2 linked regions of the Cricetulus griseus genome follow. The protein of the gene in region 2 interacts with the protein of the main gene of each other region in a biochemical or structural test. Links are inferred from orthologs where the notes say so. Each region holds a gene or a part of one and is shown on either strand. Other genes may lie near its edges.

The links.
Region 1: the proteins of Pias2 (region 2) and Sumo3 form a complex in vitro, tested with the Homo sapiens proteins (2 studies listed by BioGRID, with this or other methods). The link is inferred for Cricetulus griseus from reciprocal best matches to the Homo sapiens genes PIAS2 and SUMO3.

Annotation. Positions count from the first base shown.
Region 1 is NW_023276806.1:261,206,210-261,210,449, reverse strand, and holds the start of Sumo3 (small ubiquitin-related modifier 3), read left to right. Parts: upstream 1-1,241; 5' UTR 1,242-1,375; coding exon 1,376-1,396; intron 1,397-4,240. UniProt on the Homo sapiens protein: Ubiquitin-like protein which can be covalently attached to target lysines either as a monomer or as a lysine-linked polymer. Does not seem to be involved in protein degradation and may function as an antagonist of ubiquitin in the degradation process.
Region 2 is NC_048595.1:162,885,605-162,889,835, forward strand, and holds the start of Pias2 (E3 SUMO-protein ligase PIAS2), read right to left. Parts: upstream 2,866-4,231; 5' UTR 2,813-2,865; coding exon 2,705-2,812; intron 2,347-2,704; exon of another isoform or gene 2,221-2,346; coding exon of another isoform or gene 2,218-2,220; intron 1-2,217. UniProt on the Homo sapiens protein: Functions as an E3-type small ubiquitin-like modifier (SUMO) ligase, stabilizing the interaction between UBE2I and the substrate, and as a SUMO-tethering factor.

The DNA of each region.
Region 1 (4,240 bases), on a different chromosome or scaffold from region 2:
TGACTGTTCTACCAGCATGCCGCTCAAGCTCCCAGTTAGTGCCCCTGACTGGTCAACCAGCATGCTGCTCAAGCTCCCAGTCAGTGCTCCCTGACTGCTCTACTAGCATGCTGCTCAAGCTCCTGTGAGTGCTCCCTGACTGGTCAACCAGCATGCTGTTCAAGCTCCTGTGAGTGCTCCCTGTTTTACCAGCATGCTGCTCAAGCTCCCAGTTTGTGCCCCTGACTGGTCAACCAGCATGCTGCTCAAGCTCCCAGTTTGTGCTCCCTGACTGGTCAACCAGCATGCTGCTCAACCTCCTGCGAGTGCTCCCAGCTTCACTTGTCCTGCGGTAATTACCAAGTTGGCTCCTTGGACATGTTATTAAACCTCGAGGTATCTTAGTGTTCTCCTGTGTAAAATGGGCTTTTAGTGTCTACAGCAGCATCCCAGAAAACGAGCAAATGGAAGACCAAAATGGAGGCCTCTTGTGCCACTATCGTCCACCCCAGTGGTCTGGTGGTTACTTTGGGACTATGTGAGGAGGGAGAAGGGTAGACACAGAGAATCCAGGGGAAGGGACAGGTACTTCCTGGAGCCATCTTGGGAATGCCCTTCTGGAGGCTGATCCACCCACCTGGAAAGTCAGGCGGGAAAAGATGAACCAGGGGTATGTGCTGGCTCTCTGGGCCAACAGAGGCCATCCTCCGTGTCCTCAAAGGATGCCTTTTCCAGACATGAGCTCCCCTGTGACATTCAAACTCAAGGCCACAGACTTGTCCCAGGAGTATGTGTGTGGTCCTTAAAGCATGCCTGGTAACCTCTTGTTGGTCTTCCTGAAGGGGGGGGGTGGCCCGATGGCCCTGATTTTCTTCCCCGTCCCTTCCCCAAAGGCAGCCTGCGGACAGAAAAAGTGGCCAAACGCGGATGGCAAAGTGGTTGCTTGAAGACACCTGGGTCGGTTGGGCCAAAGCATTCTCCGGCTGCTGTCTCAGCACACAGGCGCCCCCGGTCCTCCCCGTCCTCCCAGTGCCCGCGCCCTTGGCGGGCCCCTTGGCAGTCTTGTCCCCACATCCGGGGTCTCCGTGCCCAGGACCTTGGGCCGCGCGTCCCCGGGGCTCTGCGCGCGCCCAGGTGCCTGACCCGCCCCGTGACGCATTTGCAACCGTCCGGGATCGCGGCCGGCCCAGCGCGCGCCCGAGGCGCGGGGCACGCGCCTCGTGCACGCGCGCCACCACGTGACTCCGCGCGGCCAACCGGCGCGCCGGGATTTGGGGATAAAGCGCGGCCCCGCGACAGTTGCGGCGGGAGAGCGGCGGGGCAGAGAGCGTGACTCGCCCGCTCCAGTGCCACCGGTTCTCCTTGCGCTTCCCGCCGCCGCCGCCGTCGCGCAACCATGTCGGAAGAGAAGCCCAAGGTAAGCCTGGGACGCAAGGCGCTGCAGAGTCCGCAGGACGCAGGCCGGGCCGCGCGCAGACCGGGGCCCGCGGGCCCGCGCTCCGGCCTCCGCGCCCCTCCCCCGCCACGGCCGCGCGCGCCCCTCCCCCACCGGCGTCGCACCCCGCCCGAGCTTCGCCCCGGCCCGCCCCTCCCCTTGGCCCCGCCCCCGGTCTGCCTCCCGCCACGCCAGGGCTCCGCCCCCGGTGTAGCTCCGCCCCCCGATGTAGTTACGCCCCGAGTCTAGCCACGCCCCGCGGCCCGAGAACCCGGAACTTGGACGTCCCGCGGGGTGCTGGCTCTCGGTTATCCAGTCTTCCTCTCAGTCCTCCCTCCTCGACGTGGCCATCCCTCTTGTGCCGTGTGCAGAGGCCCACGCGTGAGGCCCCCGTGGGCGCTCCGAGAGCTGCAGCGGTGCAGGAGCCAAGCTGGCCGCTCCGAGCTTCTCACTGTTGGCCGGGTCCGGTGCTCTCCCACCCCCCCATTGCGGTCCCCCTTACTTAGTCTCGGCAGTTAGTGCGTGGGAAGACCCGCATGGCCCAATCTCAATTAAAAGTTTTTCCACCCTCGACCTGTCCTGCTGGGAGCCTGGCATTCTGTGTTCACCGCCCTGGGCCCAGAGATGACCGCTCTCTTGGTTCGGATGAGAGACCCCAGGAGCAGGGCAAACCTCTGGAATGCTATGGTACCCCGCTGTGAATTCACCAGTTGATCCCAGCATCATCTTGGCTGCAGGGCTCTGACTTTTAATTCCAACTCAGCCTTGGGTGCTGCCTACACCAACAGGGACAACAGGGACGTTGAATGAGAGCACCTGTTTGTACTGGACTAAGAGTAAACACTTTGTTTTGTAGTTGGTTTCCTCTTTATGAGGTTAGGCAGGAAGTGAGTGCCGGGTGTGGTACTGGAAAGACCACACCTGCCGTTCTAGGTTAGTGGAGGCAGGGGTTTATACTTTTATTTATATTTTGCAGCACTGGTGATCCAACCCAGGAGCTTTTGTACACTAGGCAGGTGCTCTGCCAGTGAGCTATCCCCCCACCCCCTTTTTAAAGGCAAGGTCTCTATGTAGATCAGGCTAGCCTTGAACTCACAGATCCTCTGGCCTCTGCTTTCTGAGTGCTGTGATTAATGGAGTGTGCCACCACACCTGGCCAGCCTTTGTTTTGTTTTGAGACAGGGTCTCCCTGTGTCACGCTAGCTGGTCTTTACCTATACCCAGGAGTGCTGGGGTTACAGGTATTCGAAGTCATCGTGCTAAGCCTCATTTTTCTTTCTTTCTTTCTTTTTTTTTTTTTTGTTTGTTTGTTTTTTCGAGACAGGGTTTCTCTGTGTAGCTTTGGAGCCTATCCTGGCACTCGCTCTGGAGATCAGGCTGGCCTCGAACTCACAGAGATCCGCCTACCTCTGCCTTCCCAGTACTGGGATTAAAGGCGTGGGCCACCAATGCCTGGCAAGCCTCATTTTTCTTAACCTCTGAGTTTGCTTGCTAATCAGAGAACTACTGGACTGTGCCAGCTATCCTGCTGTTAGAGGGGAGCGTGCCTTGGGCCCTTTCACCTCTGCTGGCATTTCTGTTTAGGCCCTGGTTCCTGTGTCTGATTTGAACACAGCATTTTTTTTTTTTTTTTCCTGATAGAAGTCAGTGCATCTTGGGGGCCTGGAGTTGTTCACTTTTTCTCACAGTGGAGCCCACAGTTTGGAGCAGTAGCCAAGCTCTCTGAGAAGTGCTACTGTGTCACTGGTGTCCTGTGACTGAATGCTGGGAATTCTCTCACAGGAGGGAATGGAAGGAGGGTGCTCAGGTGTTTGTTCTCTCAGGTCCCTGCAGGACCCTCTCACCTGGGAACTGTTTCTCAGGCTAGAAAAAGCTCTTAGCCAAGGCTTTTAGGATCCAGCACAGGGCAGGCTCCTTTCCAGACACTGTTCTACCCAAGGCCTTTTGTACCAAGCTCAGAGCAGGTTGCTTCCTGATGCTGTTCTGCCCCTTTCTCCAGGAATAAAAAAGTGGCAGAGGCCATCCAAGGGAAGCAGGGAGTTACTCAGTTAAGCTGTGGGAAAAAACTGGTGTGAGGACAGGGAGAAAATGCGGTCTGCAGATGGACCAAGGGATCTATGTCCTTAAAAAGTAAACGGTTCCCAAGGCTGGAGAGATGGCTCAGGGGTTAGAAGCACTGGCTGCTCTTTGAGAGGACACAGTTCAGTTCCCAGCACCCAGGTGACTGCTAACAAGCATCTGTTAACTGCAGTCCTAGAGCATCTGACGCCCTCTTCTGGCCTCCATGGGCACTGCCTGCGTGTGATACACAAAATAGTCAGACACATTCAAAAATAATAAAGGTTAAAAAGCTCCTATGGGCTTTTGATATACTGTGTGAGTCACTCATGCCCTGAACAACAAAAGTAGTTCCTTCCCAGATCGAACAGCCCCAAAGTTGGCTCTGTTCAAAGTGTGTTTCCAGCAACTGACAAGTACTGACTTCGCCTTTGTCCAGCTCTCGTGTGTACCACGATGTATAAAAACTAGTGCTGTTCAATAGGGACCCAGGGCCTGTGCAGGCTGAGCATACTCATTCCTTGGAGCCACACCCAGCCACAGAAGAGCACAGTCTAAGACCAGAGGGTCCAGGGAACTACAGTTTTCACCCTGCTGACTCCAGCGGATCCCTCAGAGTCCCCCAGTGTTCCTCTGGTTCTCCACTCTTGGTTTTATGTGGCTTTTCTTACCAGTCTTATAAAACCATGCAAATGTGTTTACCAGTCTCATAAGTCTTGTTTGTTTGTTTGTTTTTGTTTTTCGAGACAGGGTTTCTCTGTATTTTGG
Region 2 (4,231 bases):
CAAGATACACAGCTCTTAGCTCAGCGGTTCTCAAACTGGGGTACGAATGACCTTTTCACAGGAGTGGCCTAAGACCATCAGAAACATAGATATTTACAAACCATAACAGTAGGAAAATTACAGTTATAAAGTAGCAATAAAAATAATTTTATGATTGGATGTTACCACAACATGAGGAACTATATTAAAAGGGTCACAGTATTAGGAAGGTTAAGAACCACTGTTTTAGTTACTGCTCTAGCCTATGCCTGTCTGCTTTCCACAATGATGATAAGGGACTAACCCTTTCAAACTGAAAGCAAGCCCTAATTAAATGTTTTCTAAGAGCTGCCTTGGTCATGGTGGTTCTTCACAGAACTAGAACAATAGAAACTAATACAATCTTATAACAAGTTAATTTACATCTAGCTAGTTAATTCACAAACTAGTTGGCCATCCCTTCAATTATAACAAAGATGTTATAAGTGAGCATCTAGGGAACCAAATAATTTCCCCAGCACGTGAAAGCTTCTTAAGCAAGCCACAGTATTATAATCATCATGACTACAATCTATGTTTCATTTTCCTCACAGAATTACAAGAATAACAATATATATATGAAATATTTGAACCAGAATTTGGTGTGTATAGGGACATATTAAAATGAGTATGTGCCATCATCATCACTTTTTGCACTGAGAAGTAGGATAACATGTGTCTGCCCTAAGCAGCTAAGGCAAAAGATAGTGGATAATCTTCCAGCATCTACTCTGAATCATGGTCCTAAATAGTCTTATCAATAAAAACCTGGAGTCAGATATCTTGGTAAATGTGGAAAGATCAGAGATACAAAGAACAGCCACCCACACTTCTTACCTCACCCAGTCCTCAAACCAAAAGGGCTGAGATCCCACCTATGTCCAGCCTTATCACTTTCTGTCTCCTGTTTGTACAGACCTCCAGACCTCTATGGTTAATTAGTGGCTAACTCCACCCTCTGACCTCCAGGCAAGCTTTGTCAGAACAGAAACAAAATATCACACAACACCTCTCAGCCTGCAACCTTCTTTCCTGTCCTCCAAAAACCTTCATAGGCCAAGTCTCCTGTGGTCATCTACTGCCTCAGATGAGCCAAGGACATTACCTTGTACCAAGCACAAGAAGATGCAAACACCACTGTGTCTCAGGTGAAGCTTATCCAGAAAACAAAATGGAGAAAAGCAAAAAGGGATACTTTGGTTTCCACTGCTTTCAAGGTCCATCTGAGTACTAATGCCCTTTTCCACCCTATATGATTAAGGTTAGTTTAGCTCTTCACTTTAACCAGTGACACTTCTAAAAGTCTAATACAGCCGGGCCTTTAATCCCAGCAAGCGGACCTCTATGAGTTCGAAGCCAGCCTGGTCTACAGAGAGAGTTCCAGGACAGACTCCAAAGCTACACAGAGCAATGTTGTCTTGAAAAACACAAACAAAAAACGGAAAACAACAACAAGAAGTCTAATACAAGAAACCCTAGTGAGGTTTCCACCAACCAAACTTAAGAAAACAAAGACTACTTTCCCTGGAAGAGGAAATATACATGTTACTCTACAAAAGTTATGGTAATATTGCAGGGGAAAAAAACTCCAGTGTTCAGTTTCCTATAGTGAGGCACAGTTGCGTCAGGAGCACCACTAAACACAGGACAAGTAAGAAGGTTCAAATATGCTTTACAATCATGGTTCTCTGTATAAACTGATATGGGATACAACATGTATGATATACTTTTTACTGTGAAAATCACTCATTTCAGAAACAAGAGGGTACTGTGAAATTCATTCTTTTGTTGGTGTCCAACCACACAACATCCTTTTCCCACACAATAATGGTCTTACAAAGCAGAACAGTTTTACCAGTTCAAACAGCTGATTGCAATTCATTTAACTTCAAATCCAGACTTATACGTCTCTACTTTAAAACACAATTAAAAATCAGGGTTTCTGTCTGTAACCATCCCACATTCGTCGTCAGTAATTCGGGGTTCAACTCGACTCATTTATCACACCTGGTTTGGTTAGGGATAAGACTTCTGTGAATCTGGTGGAGGAAAAGAATCTTTTTCGGTGTAACCACCTCTCTTTTAGACCCCGACTACAATAAAGTTATGACCTTGCTCTCGTGCTAAGAAACAGTTTTTCCTCAAGAGCTAAAGGGGTGCACAAACTACATGACAACACGGACTTTGAAGATCTCTTACCATGGTTACAAACCAAGTATCTGGATATGAGGCCGACTACGGAAGGCGGTGTTCCCAAAAGGGCGCGCTTCTCCCCACGCTGAGGAAGCACTGGTGGGAGGAAGGGGCCTGATCTCCTGACAGACCTGCCTAGACCACAGCGGGGAGAGGAAAATTCCCAAACGCAACTTAACGTCGCCGGAGGCAGTCTTCACCCAGCGAACGGCGGCCACGAGAGTCCGGGGTCGCCGCCGCCGAGTCAGCCCACCGGCCCTCGGGGGCCCCGGCCCTCCAGGTGTGCGGCCCACCACCCCGGGCCAACCGCCCGCCCTCGCCCGCCCTCGCCCGCCCTCGCCCCGCCCTCGCCCGCTCCGTCCCTCCCCGCGCGCAGGCGCCGAGGATGCGGCTCCGCCAACCGGGTCGCACGCCCCGGCGCCGCCCGCGCTGCTCCCGCCTCCCCTCTCCCCCGCCAGCGGCCTCCGCTCCCCCCCCCCCCCGCGACGCTCACCCTCAACTCCTCGAAATCCGCCATTTTATTCCCGCCCGCGGGCGCCTCAGCCGTCGCCGCTCCTCCACCCGCTGCGCCAACGACACCGCCGCCCGCCTCCTGCAACATCCTGCACTGGGGCGCCGCTCTAGACGCGCGGCCGCGCGCCGCGCGCCGAACCGCCACCGCCACCGGGCCCGTCCACGTGACCTTGCGCGGGAGGGCCCCGCCCCCGGCGCGCGCGCAGGCCCCGCCCCTCGCGGCGCCCCAGCCCACCACGCGCTCTCGGCCTTCCGCCCGAGCGCCCCCCACGCGCTTCCGGTGGTGGCCTGTCCCTGCTGAGTCTCGCCGGCCCGCGTTTCCCGGCCCCACCCCCTCTCCCTTTTCCCTACTCGGGGACGCTGGCCGCTACCGAGGCTCGTAGGAGCGCGGTCGTAACTGCCGCGTTCTTCCCGGACTTGCAGGAAGGCCTTGGCTGAGGAAGTGGCGGGGAAAAGAGAGGTGACGGACTCACCGAGGCATTCGGGAAGATTTCGCAGTGCTCTTCCCAAGGTGGCTGAGAACACAGGAAGCAGCCTCAGTGCCATCCCCAGAGTAGCTATGGTGGGATAATCCAAGTATGGGTTATGGGTAAACCGTTGTTCCAAGCTAATGGTGCTCACAAATAACAATTTGGGGGGGGGGGGTTGTCTGTCTGTTTTTGAGACAGGTTGGAACTCAGGTAGACCATGCTGGTTTCTAACTCGGTAGTAAAGGAGTGTGCCACCACACCCAGCTGCATAAGAGCTTTTTGTTTATGTCTTTAAAGTATTCACCTTGACTGGTTTTTAACTGACCTTGAAGCAAATGTCAATGGCCTGGACAACAAAGTTGAAAGAATTGTGGGGTGAGGTTAGGAGAAAAGGGAAGTTAAGAGTGCCCCAAGAGAACCCTGGTGAAGTTGAAAGAATGGGGGTTGAAAGAAAGAAACGGCTGGCTACGTGTCTGCGCTTGGGAGGCTGAAGCCAGAGGATCAGGAATTGTTACCAATTCCTGGAGGCTAGCCTGGAGTAAATGTGAGACTGAAAAAAAAAAAAAGTGAGTGACGATGCATTTACACATTTACCATTGCTCCTACCTAAGACTTCTTTCCGTTTGCATTCATTCTGGGAGCATTGCACTTTTGAGTTTAAAAGTGTTGGATCCATGGACAAAGAATTCCTACTCTGTACATTCTTGAGTCTTGCCCATTTGAATTCAAATGCCTTCCTAAAGTTAGGTCTTAGCTCACTGGTAAGCTCTTGTCTAGACAATGGTAGGCCCTGACCTCCTGTCTCCAGCACAGGAAAACAAAACAAAAAACTAAGCCCTAGTATGTCTCTTCTTAAGTCCTTACCCAAGAGCTGACTGAAAGCCTAAACTGAGTAAGGTATTTGTATGTAATAAATAACTGAGCTTCAGTGAGTGGAATGTGTACAGGTTCAAAACCAAAAAGCTGCATCTGTTTCTTAGACACAGCACTTCTATTGAAGTGACACCATGACCAAGGCAACTCTTATAAAAGAAAGC